Ovis aries: one gene and its partners. Each later gene encodes a partner of the first gene's protein in a complex. Links are inferred from orthologs where the notes say so. Each region holds a gene or a part of one and is shown on either strand. Other genes may lie near its edges. The genes, in order: RGS7, GPR158 and GNB5.

Region 1 (4,159 bases):
CAATTTTTCTGAAAAAGATCACAATTTCTAGAGCACACCATGGAAAGATTTTGGGAACTGGGGAAGAGAGGGAGATGGTCAGACTAGGGTGTGTGTAACATAGTTTGGGCTAGGAATCTCTGCCCTGTATTATTCAGAATACAGGGTAGGTTGAAAAAAAGACATGTTCCCTGGTTAAAACCTGACAGGAGCCAGGTGGGACTGAGGAAATGCACTTGAGGACACGTCCTGGGTTTACTTTGACGGGCTCTCCTGACCAGCTGTAAGTTCCATTTTTATCTAGGAGGTTAGGAAGAGGCTAGCTTGATTATTTTCTGTTTCTCCCCCACACCTGGCCCAGCTGTGGAAGGAAAACCTCAGATATTTTTAACTGCACGACCCTGCCCCTGAAAGCCAGACACACAGCGTTCTTTACTATAATTGGGACAAAAGTGATTTTTCTTCTTAATGTCACGCTAATCCTTACAGAAGAACTAGTGACAGCACCCTGAAGAATAATTATGCGGAAATCATCACTCCGCCCTCATTCTTTGAAAACTGCTGGAGGGTGAGAGTTAAGTGGGTGACAGGTCCTCCGAGCATCTCTTGTCTAAAAGAGAAACCAGATACTGTGACTATACCTTCACTGTAACAGGTGGCAAGATGTGCACTTCGAGTTGGCCGTCTCCAAATCGTTTCCCATTTCTAACTTAGGGGGAAGCTGTGAAATTTGCAGGCAAACGAGCTGAATGACTCATTTGATCCTGGACATTTCTTTCACTCCTAGGATGTCTCAATATCTCTCTACTCCCGTTTTTAAAGCACAACGATAATCAGTCATCGGCTACCCTCGCACTGTCAGCGTAGTCACCGGGCACGTGACCAAACGGGCCCGCCGCAAGGGGCTACCTCCATTCCTGCATGCCTCCATCCATCCATCCACCCACCTACCCATCGCCCTTTCTGTTCTCCGGCTTAACACTCCCATCTCCAGGCCTTCAGCGGCGCGCACACTGGCGAGCCGGGTGTGCAAGGGCCCGGGTTGCACGCGCTTGGGGGCAGGGCGGCCACTTTCTCTGCCCGAGACGGTGGGGCGGCGGAGGAGACAGGGCAGCGAGGCCGCGCGGAGCCGAGCCCCCCCAACCCCGCCCGGCTCCCCTCCCCGAGCCGGCACCTAGGGACGCCGGGTCCCACGTGACAGTCCCCTCCTCCCTCCCCAGTCGCGCGCACGGGCCGGGCGTCTCGGTCCCGCGCGCGCTCGTGGTCCGGGAGTCCGGGAGCCAAGCGAAGGAGGGAGCGGTGGAGCGCGGGCCGTCAGAGCCCTGTGCCCGCGCGGAGGTGATGAAGCTGGCCGCGCGCTGACACCGCCGCACCCAGCCGCCGGGAAGCAGGCGCCTCGGGCCGCGACCTTGAGGAGGAGGTACGAGGCTGGGCACGGGGATGGGGGTGGGTTGGGGTGGGGGCGGAGGTCGGAGGCGGTGCCCCGGAGCCCCGCGCCCGGGTCCGCGGGGCTGACACCGCCGCCGGCCCGGCTCCAGTGCGCGGCTCGGGCTCGCCTGCCATTTGCTGCCGCCGCAGGCGAGCCGGGCTTGCTTGTTTTCCCCTGTCTCTGCCTGGTCGCTCCGAGGCTTCCGCAGTTGGCGCTGCTCACGGTGACCCAGGTAATTGCCTGAAGGGCCGACCTCCCACCTGGTCTTGTTGCCAGGACACCTTCTCTGCCTTCTGGCCGGGGTTGGGCAGGGTTACGCCGTGACTTCCGAAGCCGAGTTGGGCCGAGGGGAGAAGCAGCAGTGGCCGGGCAGTGCAGGCAGGTGAAAGTCGAGGAAGCTCCCTTGACTCTGTGCGGGAGACCTAGGGGAATGAAGAGGAAACACATGACTGGAGAATGGCCCAGGAATGGGCCTCTGATGCGCTAGCATGCGGGGAAACTAGACAGACACCTGGGAGAAAGTGCTGCCACAGGGTGTTGCCTTTTTAACCATTCGGGGAGGGAGGGGGAACACCATCCGGTGGAGATGCAAGTATTGGGAGAGAAGAGAACTCTGTAGGATGGAAATGGTAACCGTTTTTTTTTTTTTTTTCCCCTCTCCAGTGAGCCTCAAACACTTTAAAAAATGAATATCCAGAAAATCAAGTCAATTAAAACCCTAGTCAAGTGACAATTTTAACTAAAAGATTGTCATTTCTTAAAATTTCCTGGGAGGACTGTAGGTGTAAGTTCTTTTTTTTTTTTTTTTTTTTTAATCTGTTTCTGTGCTACTTTCTACAAGCCAGCCCCAGCATATAAGCATGCTCCAATGTTGGATGAGGGAGATGAATCAAGAGTCAACCTTCTTGGATAGTTAGGGAGTTTGGAATAGTCATGTACACGCTGCTGTATTTAAAATAGATAACCAACAAGGACCTATTGAACAGCAAATGGAACTCTGCTCAATCTTATGTGCCTGCCTGGATGGGAGGGGGTACCTGGGGGAGAATGGATACATGTATATATATGACTGAATAGCTTCACTGTTCACCTGTAACTACCACAACATGGTTAGTCGGCTGTACTCCCATACAAAGTAAAAAGTTTGAAGTTTGGAAAAATAAGAGTCAACCTTCTTAAGTACTACCATTAAGAACTCACTGAAGTCTCTGTCTCTTGCAGGGTAGACTGATAATTCCTGTATCTGAGAGTGGACCACGGGTGTGTGGTGACATGGCCCAGGGGAATAATTATGGACAGACCAGCAATGGGGTGGCAGATGAATCACCCAACATGCTGGTGTACAGAAAGGTAAGGATTTCTTCACTTTCCTGGAAAAAGGGAAACTTCTGGCTTCTTTGAATATTTCTTTTCCCCCTCAGATCAGAGTATCTATCAATTTTGTGACCTTAGGGATTCTCCAAATCCCAGATGACTGCACATTGTACTTGAGGATGAGCTGACATTCATATGTGTAATGCATATGTGTAGAGACATAGTGAAATACATGAGGCTACTGATACTCTGTTCTCACACTTTCCCAGTGGATCCTACATGGATGAAGCTGCAGGCAGCAGCAGCAGCAGCAGCAGCAGCAAATTTGGACATCCCACATATTTTGTTGGTCACATACAGGATTTTATAGCATCTGTAATAGTTTTTAAAAGCTTTTTTTCTAATACTCCTCCTAAGCATTTGGGTTGTAATGATCATGCAGATGTATAACATTTTAGAAATGAATGAAGACTACATTGCATTCCTGGGGCAAGAGTGAATGTGGCTATGTCTGTATGGTTGGTTTAATAATTTTGCTTCTAACTAAATAATTCCAGTTTCTTTTTTTAAATCTTAGCTTAAGGTATTTTTTACTTTGTGTTATTTTTATAATTTTACTTATGGGTATTTATGTTCTAGTGCCATATGCCCATTAAGTAAATCTTTATATTTTAGAAGCTTTTTTTCCTCCAAACTAATCTGGCAGCTTTATGCATTTTATAACGATGCTGTCAATACCAAACGTTTAGATATTGAGCCACCATAATAAAGGTGTATTTGAATATTGTATGTGCTTCAGAGTGGTTGCTTAGGTAAATTCTTTCTGCTTAGAATCAATAATCTGACTAAAATTAAGGAAGCATCATTCTTCATTTAAATGCTGGTACAGAAATTACTGCATTTTCTGGGGGATTATTTTTCTTTATCATATTATCTGTAGTGCTTGTTGGGGTAGGATTTCTTTAGTTAACACTAGCAGTGGTAAAAAGGAGGTTGGGCCTGGAAACCAAGAAAACTGTTAACGACTTTAATTAGTGTGACCCCATTGAAGAGTCTAGGATGAGTTTACTAGAGGATCAGAACTGGTTATGGAGAAAGATGAAACGCTTTCCACCTTGACCTGTACTAAATTCAGACTTTCCTTCAGTGTGGCCCAGTGTCATTAACAGGTGCTGATGATATGTGTTTGCAGAAATCTTGTTATTGTTTCTGTGTGAATATGCATGGATATCCTGATGATGCTAACCTTGTAAACTATAGTATGTTGTGTACCTGTGAATGGAGGGGTGTCTGTGTGTGTGTCACAGCACAGTAAAACTTTTTCTTCACAGGGAAAAAAATTGCCTATTTTAGTCTTAAAGCATCCCGACTGGATAAATCAAGGAAATAATCCCTTTGAGCTTAATTATTACTATTCTATTCCTATCCTGATTGAAA
Region 2 (3,651 bases), on another chromosome or scaffold:
GCCTAAAGTGATAAAATTCCAAGAAAACACAGCAGGTAAGCCTCATGACATTAGCTTTGGGAATGATTTCTCAGATATGACACCAAAAGTACAGGCAATCAAAGAAAACATAGGTAATTGGAGTCCATTAGAGCTTAAAACTTTCAGGCATCAAAGGAGAGTTAAAAGATAACCCATGGGATGGAAGAAAATGTTTGCAAGGCATCTATGTGATACGTGTAATATTCAGAATACGTGAAGAACTCCTACAACTCAGCAATGAACCACCAACCAATTCAAAAGTGAACAGAAGACTCGAATAGACATTTCTGCAAAGAAGATATACCAAAAAGCACATGAAAAAATGCTAGACTGCCAGTAACCTGTAGGAAAATGCAAATCGAAACTACAATGAGAATTCACTTCAGATTGATTAGGATGGTTATTATAAAACAAACAAACAAACAGGAAAAAAAAAAAACCCAGAAAATAGTGAGTGCTGGTGAGGATGCAAAGGAATTGGAACCCTCATGAACTGTTGGTGAAAATATCAAGTTGTCTGGCCTCTGTGGAAAATAGTTGCAACCCCATGGACTGTAACACACTAGGCTCCTCTGTCCTCCACTATCTACTGGAGTTTGCCCAAATTCATGTCCATTGAGTCAATGATGCTATCTAACCATCTCATCCTCTGCTGCCCCCTTCTCCTTTTGCCCTCAGTCTTTCCCAGCATCAGGGTCTTTTCCAATATTACTCATCAGTGAAAAGAAATGAGCACTAGGTGGCTCAGTCAGTTAAGAATCTGCCTGCAATACAGGCAATGCAAGGCAATGCAGGGTTTCATCCCTGGGTCAGGCAAGATCCCCTGGAAAAAGAAATGGCAACCCACTCCAGTATTCTTGACTGGAAAATTCCATGGACAGAGGAGCCTGGTGGGCTACAGTCGATGAGGTTGCAAGAGTCGGACATGACTTAGCAACTAAACCACCAAAAGAAATGAAGTTCTGATACACGCTACAACATAAACAAATATGGTAGGTGAAATAAGCCAAACACAAAAAGACAAATGGTATAAAAGTCCACTTATATGAGGTACTCTGAAAAGACACATTTATAGAGACCAGAAAGTAGAACAAAGGTTACCAGGGATTAGGAGAACAGGGAGTTTTTTAATGGTTACAGAGTTTGGTTTGGGATGATGCAAAGGTTCTGGAAGTGAATAGTGGTGATGACTGCACAGTGATGTGAATGCATTTAATGCCACTTAATTGTACAGTTAAAGATGGTAAATGTTATGTTATGTGTATTTTACAATTAAAAAAAATAATATAGTTCTCCTTTTCGCACCAAAATAAGCATTAGAACATCATAATTACTTTAGCAGAATTTCAGCCACATTCTACATTAAAACATCTAATTTTCCAAACCAAAAATGAGCACTTATAAAATCACTTGTCAATTAATTTCTAAATTAAAAAAAGAAATTATTACAGGACTGGAAGGGAAAATATAAACTGTAGTATGTTCCCTTTAAAAAATGACTATCACTATTTTTTCCAAACCACTGAGCTCAAACAAAACATGTTAAAATAGTACTAAGAATAAATCAAGCAAAAGATTATTTTCAGAAGTGGAAGAAGCTGCTGTACCTTCCAGTATACCTTCTTTCTTAGAAATTTTCACTCAAAAATAAATTGTACTAACACTTCACATTATTAAGCTGTAAGAAGCTATGCTCTCTCTTCAGAATAGCTAATAGGAAAAGATGTGACTTGTCATAATATTTGGTTAAAAAAAAAGATAATTTCTAAATATTTAATATTCAGGATATTTCAAATACTATTTTAAAAATTGCCACTGCTTTAGAAGAACTTGCTGAGCTCAAAATCACTCACAGTTTATTGACAGATTTATTCTTTAACCCAGGACAAATGCATATAATTATTTCCTTAAATGTTTGTCCACAGAAATTTAATTTACTCTGTGGTATTGTATCATCAGCCTTAACCAAAAACATAGCAGAATCTAGTTTGTGTTTAAAATGATACAATATTAAGTAACCTTTGACCAGTGATTGCTGGTACCCACCAACTATAGAGTTGATATGTTAGGCATAAGCAAACCTCGTCGAACTTAAGATACTCATAACGAGACTAAATAATCTGGTTTTAGAGCCTGCACACTTATCCGTGAAAAGCAATAAATATCACAAATCTTTCTACACATGAAAAAAATTAATGCTATATTGGGAACTGGCTAAAGAAATTCTTCAAGAAGCCAAGGAGATGATATAAAAGAATCTTTTGAGGTTTTTGAGCTTCAGGCTAAACAGGGAGAAACATTCTGCAGGAGAAATTGTTATAATAAAGTTTCATATTTTCAATTCCTGTTTCTCCTGAGAAGCTAAGGAATATAACTTTCATACTCTAGTCGTATTATAGAAAGACTTTGGCTTAATAGAGAAGCCATTAGGATTTGGAACAATTCTATTTGCCTAAGAAGAGGTCGGTTCATAGTAAAAAGGAAGATCATAACCAGGGTACCTGGGTTTACCTTGGCTTTGCGAAAACGGTAGACCACCAGCATGCTCACGAAGTCCAGCAGCATACACAGGGCTTGAAAGGAGATGATAGCCAGTCGCAAGTACTTATCTTCCTGGACAAAGCAGGGCCTGTCGTCAGCACAGTAGGGGCAGCCCTCGCTGCATGGCAGGCAGACGTGGACTTCTTCTGACACATCCCTGGCACTTTCTACAAAACGGTGATCTGGACCCCTTCCTGAAAATTCCAAATAAAACCAGTGTCACTGCACCTTGGAGGTAGGTGAGACAGAGTCAAAATACATCCTCACTTCTTCATTCATTTTCCCTCTAACTAAAAACCTTTCTTCAACCTTCTTACTCAGTGAGAGAGTTTCTTTGCCTTTAGGCTCAAACAGAATTCTTTTCATCCTTTTGATAAAAAAAAAAAAAGTTATTCAGAACAACTGAGGAAAATTAGCAAAAATGGAATTAAACTCCTCAGAGGCAGGGAACAGTTTTCTGTCTTTTATTTCACTATTTTCCACTCCCTAATGGAAATTCCCTATGGTCACAAAGCATATTCTAGAAATATTTGCTAAAGAATTAACCAGAAAAAAAAAGGATGAGAAAGTTGTGTCATTCCTGTACCAAGTAAATAAATATACACAACACTTTTGGAACCTCTTGACCTAGATGGCACAGAATCTGAAATGAGGCTTTGATTGCTCTTTAATCCAGCAGGGATTTCATCCACCAAGTTCATTAGGTCTAAATTGGATAAAATGGTACTTAATCAACAGTTGTTCAGTGTGCAATTGCCTAATGATGGTGCATCCTCTGCCCAGAGGACAATCCATACTTACAGGCTATCATGTAATTTCCCCCTCTGCACACCCATAGGACATTTCCACACTATCAACTAACTGCTGTTACTGATCTACCTTTAATTTTGGATTCTTGTGTCTTGGTTATCAAACTTAACTTAGCCCTGAAGCCCAAAAGTAAGAATCCTCTTTAAATGTTGAGTTTGCATACTACATCACTTCAGTCATGGCCAACTCTTTGTGACTCCATAGACTATAGTCCTCCAGGTTCCTCTGTCCATGGGATTCTCCAGGCAAGAATACTGAAGTGGACTGCCATGCCCTCCT
Region 3 (2,670 bases), on another chromosome or scaffold:
ATTTATCCTAGGACTGGACTATTCAATTACTCATTTTAGAAATGACACACACTTCTTAGGATAATATGAAGCATCAAATGACCAGCTACTTTTCTAGATAGTCTTTGAAATTCTCTCCCTCCCCTGACCCTGTGTCCAGCAGTCTTAAGCTATGCCCCAAATTTGTTCAATCCTACTTAAATCCCTCCATCAAAAGATTTACCTTCAATCAGACCCCTAAAACCTTTGGCAGATAATATCTGCCTTTGCTCTCTCCTTCTGAAATGCTAATAAGACTGTCGAGTCTGTGATCTTCCATAGTGAAGTGAGTTTTACTTGCTGAACAGTTATTTTGGTGGCATTTCTAGGGAGCCAACACCTGACACAGTCATGGAGCTCTTTGAGCATCTAATAAAGCCATGAGGACACTATTCCTGGAAAAATGCACACATATACACAATTTAGCATGTAACTGCATGGACTTCATAGGTCTCTTGAAGCCTCTGTGTGGACTTCACAGGGGTCTGTGACTGGGATAAGGACCCTGGTGCTCGTGGGAGGTGAGATTGGCAATTGGATTTGTCACAGGCTGGAACAGACTTTTAGGGTATCTGTGCTGGAATACCTGCATTGATGGGAGACTCACTACCTCCCAAGGCAAATCATCCCTCTGTGGCTATAGGTTTGAAATTAGAGCTCTCTTTGGCTGCCTAGGCCCGTCCTAGCTTACTCTGACCTCTCTGCTTTCAAGAAGACCAATCACTCCTGCTCTCACACACACAGTAAAGTAGAAAAGCCTCTCTTACTCTGAGGGTATGATCCCATGATCCTGAGCAAAAGGCAGTCCCATCAGGGGAAACTCGTAGAGTACTAACACGGTTTTCATGTCCAAACAAGATGGAGACTCGAGACCCCTTGAGGACATCCCAGACATTGATGGTATAATCATTGTATCCAGCAAACAGCAGGCGACCTTAAAGCAAGAGGTAAGATGGTTACTCAACCAGTTCCTTCCTTTTTCTTTTCATGACTCTGATTCATGTGCTCATTCATTCATTCATTCAATAAACAGTGCTTTAGAGCCCACTATGTGCCAGGCACTGTGGTTTGCCCTGGGGATTCAAAGAGGAGAAAGCACAGTTGCTGGCCCCTGTGGAGGGTGACGGTGGGCAGGCTGACTCCTGTATCACTGCAGCACCATGTGGAAGGGGCTGTAATGGAAGTGCTCAGCTATGTGTAAAGTGCTATGTGATCACAGAGGAAAGGGGATCAAAGAGGATACTATGGGAGAAGCACTATTTGTGTTGGCCTTTGAGGGTTGAATAGGAGTTTGCCATGCAGAGAAGGAAGGGAAAATGATGTTCCAGGCAGCAGCAGCAGCACAAAGGCACAGCTGCATGGCTGGAAGGTGTCTGGGAGAACTGAACGGTCCACTGACACAATATGCCAGCACTGCCCTAAGTTCCCCTGGTAGCCTCTCGAGCTGTGAAGGCAGAGGTGACGTGAGCTTCGGGGCATCAAGAAGGGGACTCTCTCGATTCACTCCCTCCACCTCTGAAAAAAGTCCCTTTTCAAGTGTGAAAGGGAAAATGGAAGGCTGGATAGGAAATGCCTAAAGGCATAGCAGATAGAGTTCTGATATACCATTGTTCTGAAGAAGAGTGTTAGATGGGCCCAGCCTTCACTTATGGGCTGGGGAAGCTGCCTCAGGTTGGGCAAAATGTGGTGTCAAAAATGCATTGGAGGAAAACCATGCAGGTGTAGACTCTTGGCAGGTGGAGCCTAGGAAGTTCAGCTGAGGGGAAGCTTGCCGGATTCTCTGAGGTCCTGTTTCACAGTCCCAGGAAAACCTTACCACTGAGGGAGAAGTCCACGCTGGAAGCTCCAAAGATGATGCTCTCTTTGGAATAGATGGCGACCTCCCTGTCTGCCCGGAGGTCATAGAGGCGACACTGGGGTGACAAAGAGGACAAAGAGCCACTTGTTTCTGGGTCCTGTTTGGTGCATCAGTGATCACAGAGCTACAGGCAGGTGCTGGTAGCTTGTGTGGTTTGAGGGTCAAGGGGAAAAACCTTTCGTTTTCTCTCAGTATTTTCTTCCTCAATCCCAATTCTTATATCCCCACGAAGCACTGGAGATTCGAAGAAACAGCAAATGCAGATTTCTTTAGTACAAAAAACAAAATGTAAGCCTTTTTTTCTGATAAGTAATATGTGTTCTTTGTAGAAAATTCAGAAAATCTCAGAAATGCATAAAGAAGGAAATCCTAGAGATATTTACTAACACCTGGCTATTTCCTTCAGTCTTATTCTACTTTTTAAAAAAATAATTACTTATTTGGCTGCAACAAGTCTTAGTTGTGGCACACACAGGGTCTTCAGTCTTTATTGTGGCATCAGTTCAGTTCAGTTCAGTCGCTCAGTCGTGTTCGACTCTTTGCGACCCCATGAATCACAGCACGCCAGGCCTCCCTGTCCATCACCAACTCCCGGAGCATACAGCATCTTTAATTGCAACATGTGAGATCTAGTTCCCTTATCAGGGATCAAACCCACGACCTGTGCATTGGGAGCTCGGAGTCTTAGCTACTGGACCATCAGGGAAGTCCCAGTCTTAATCTATTTTATGTGTGGATTTAAATGGGGTGAATGTTTCATTATTGTTCCAATTAGCACGATGTTATGAACATTT

The links.
Region 2: the proteins of RGS7 (region 1) and GPR158 are in contact, whole or in part, in a cryo-EM structure (PDB 7SHF), measured with the Homo sapiens proteins. The link is inferred for Ovis aries from reciprocal best matches to the Homo sapiens genes RGS7 and GPR158. Residues at the interface, in NP_001351815.1 of Homo sapiens: Gln35, Ile43, Ser55, Arg109, Phe110, Thr112, Pro113, Tyr114, Phe115, Lys134, Thr136, Lys140, Ala141, Arg142, Leu143, Leu145, Ala146, Asp147, Ala150, Leu153, Gln157, Trp164, Phe168, Met169, Gln170, Glu172, Ala173, Gln174, Lys176, Val177; in NP_065803.2 of Homo sapiens: Leu507, Lys508, Phe510, Leu511, Arg513, Thr514, Tyr595, Tyr598, Ala599, Thr602, Val603, Pro604, Ile714, Arg715, Leu718, Lys719, Tyr722, Leu725, Glu726, Tyr728, Lys729, Arg730, Met733, Ile734, Thr735, Asn736, Asn737.
Region 3: the proteins of RGS7 (region 1) and GNB5 are in contact, whole or in part, in a cryo-EM structure (PDB 7EWP), measured with the Homo sapiens proteins. The link is inferred for Ovis aries from reciprocal best matches to the Homo sapiens genes RGS7 and GNB5. Residues at the interface, in NP_001351815.1 of Homo sapiens: Pro19, Leu22, Val23, Lys26, Val30, Ile72, Val76, Glu77, His80, Leu81, Leu84, His88, Val207, Asp213, Ile214, Lys215, Lys216, Leu258, Gln261, Ile262, Trp265, Gln266, Gln268, Leu269, Arg271, His272, Arg273, Leu274, Lys275, Met276; in NP_057278.2 of Homo sapiens: Leu57, Glu60, Ala61, Glu62, Leu64, Lys65, Leu68, Glu71, Lys74, Leu75, His76, Asp77, Val78, Glu79, Leu80, Val83, Leu90, Phe93, Arg98, Arg99, Leu109, Lys117, Arg118, Ser134, Phe135, Trp149, Met151, Leu167, Tyr197, Ser206.

The regions. Positions count from the first base shown.
Region 1 is NC_056065.1:34,681,111-34,685,269, forward strand, and holds the start of RGS7 (regulator of G-protein signaling 7), read left to right. Parts: upstream 1-1,246; 5' UTR 1,247-1,399; intron 1,400-2,629; 5' UTR 2,630-2,680; coding exon 2,681-2,758; intron 2,759-4,159. UniProt on the Homo sapiens protein: GTPase activator component of the RGS7-GNB5 complex that regulates G protein-coupled receptor signaling cascades.
Region 2 is NC_056066.1:25,497,400-25,501,050, reverse strand, and holds part of GPR158 (metabotropic glycine receptor), read right to left. Parts: intron 2,757-3,651; coding exon 2,533-2,756; intron 1-2,532. UniProt on the Homo sapiens protein: Metabotropic receptor for glycine that controls synapse formation and function in the brain. Acts as an atypical G-protein coupled receptor that recruits and regulates the RGS7-GNB5 complex instead of activating G proteins.
Region 3 is NC_056060.1:56,359,293-56,361,962, reverse strand, and holds part of GNB5 (guanine nucleotide-binding protein subunit beta-5), read right to left. Parts: intron 2,144-2,670; coding exon of another isoform or gene 2,093-2,143; exon of another isoform or gene 1,932-2,092; coding exon 1,835-1,931; intron 953-1,834; coding exon 786-952; intron 1-785. UniProt on the Homo sapiens protein: Enhances GTPase-activating protein (GAP) activity of regulator of G protein signaling (RGS) proteins, such as RGS7 and RGS9, hence involved in the termination of the signaling initiated by the G protein coupled receptors (GPCRs) by accelerating the GTP hydrolysis on the G-alpha subunits, thereby promoting their inactivation.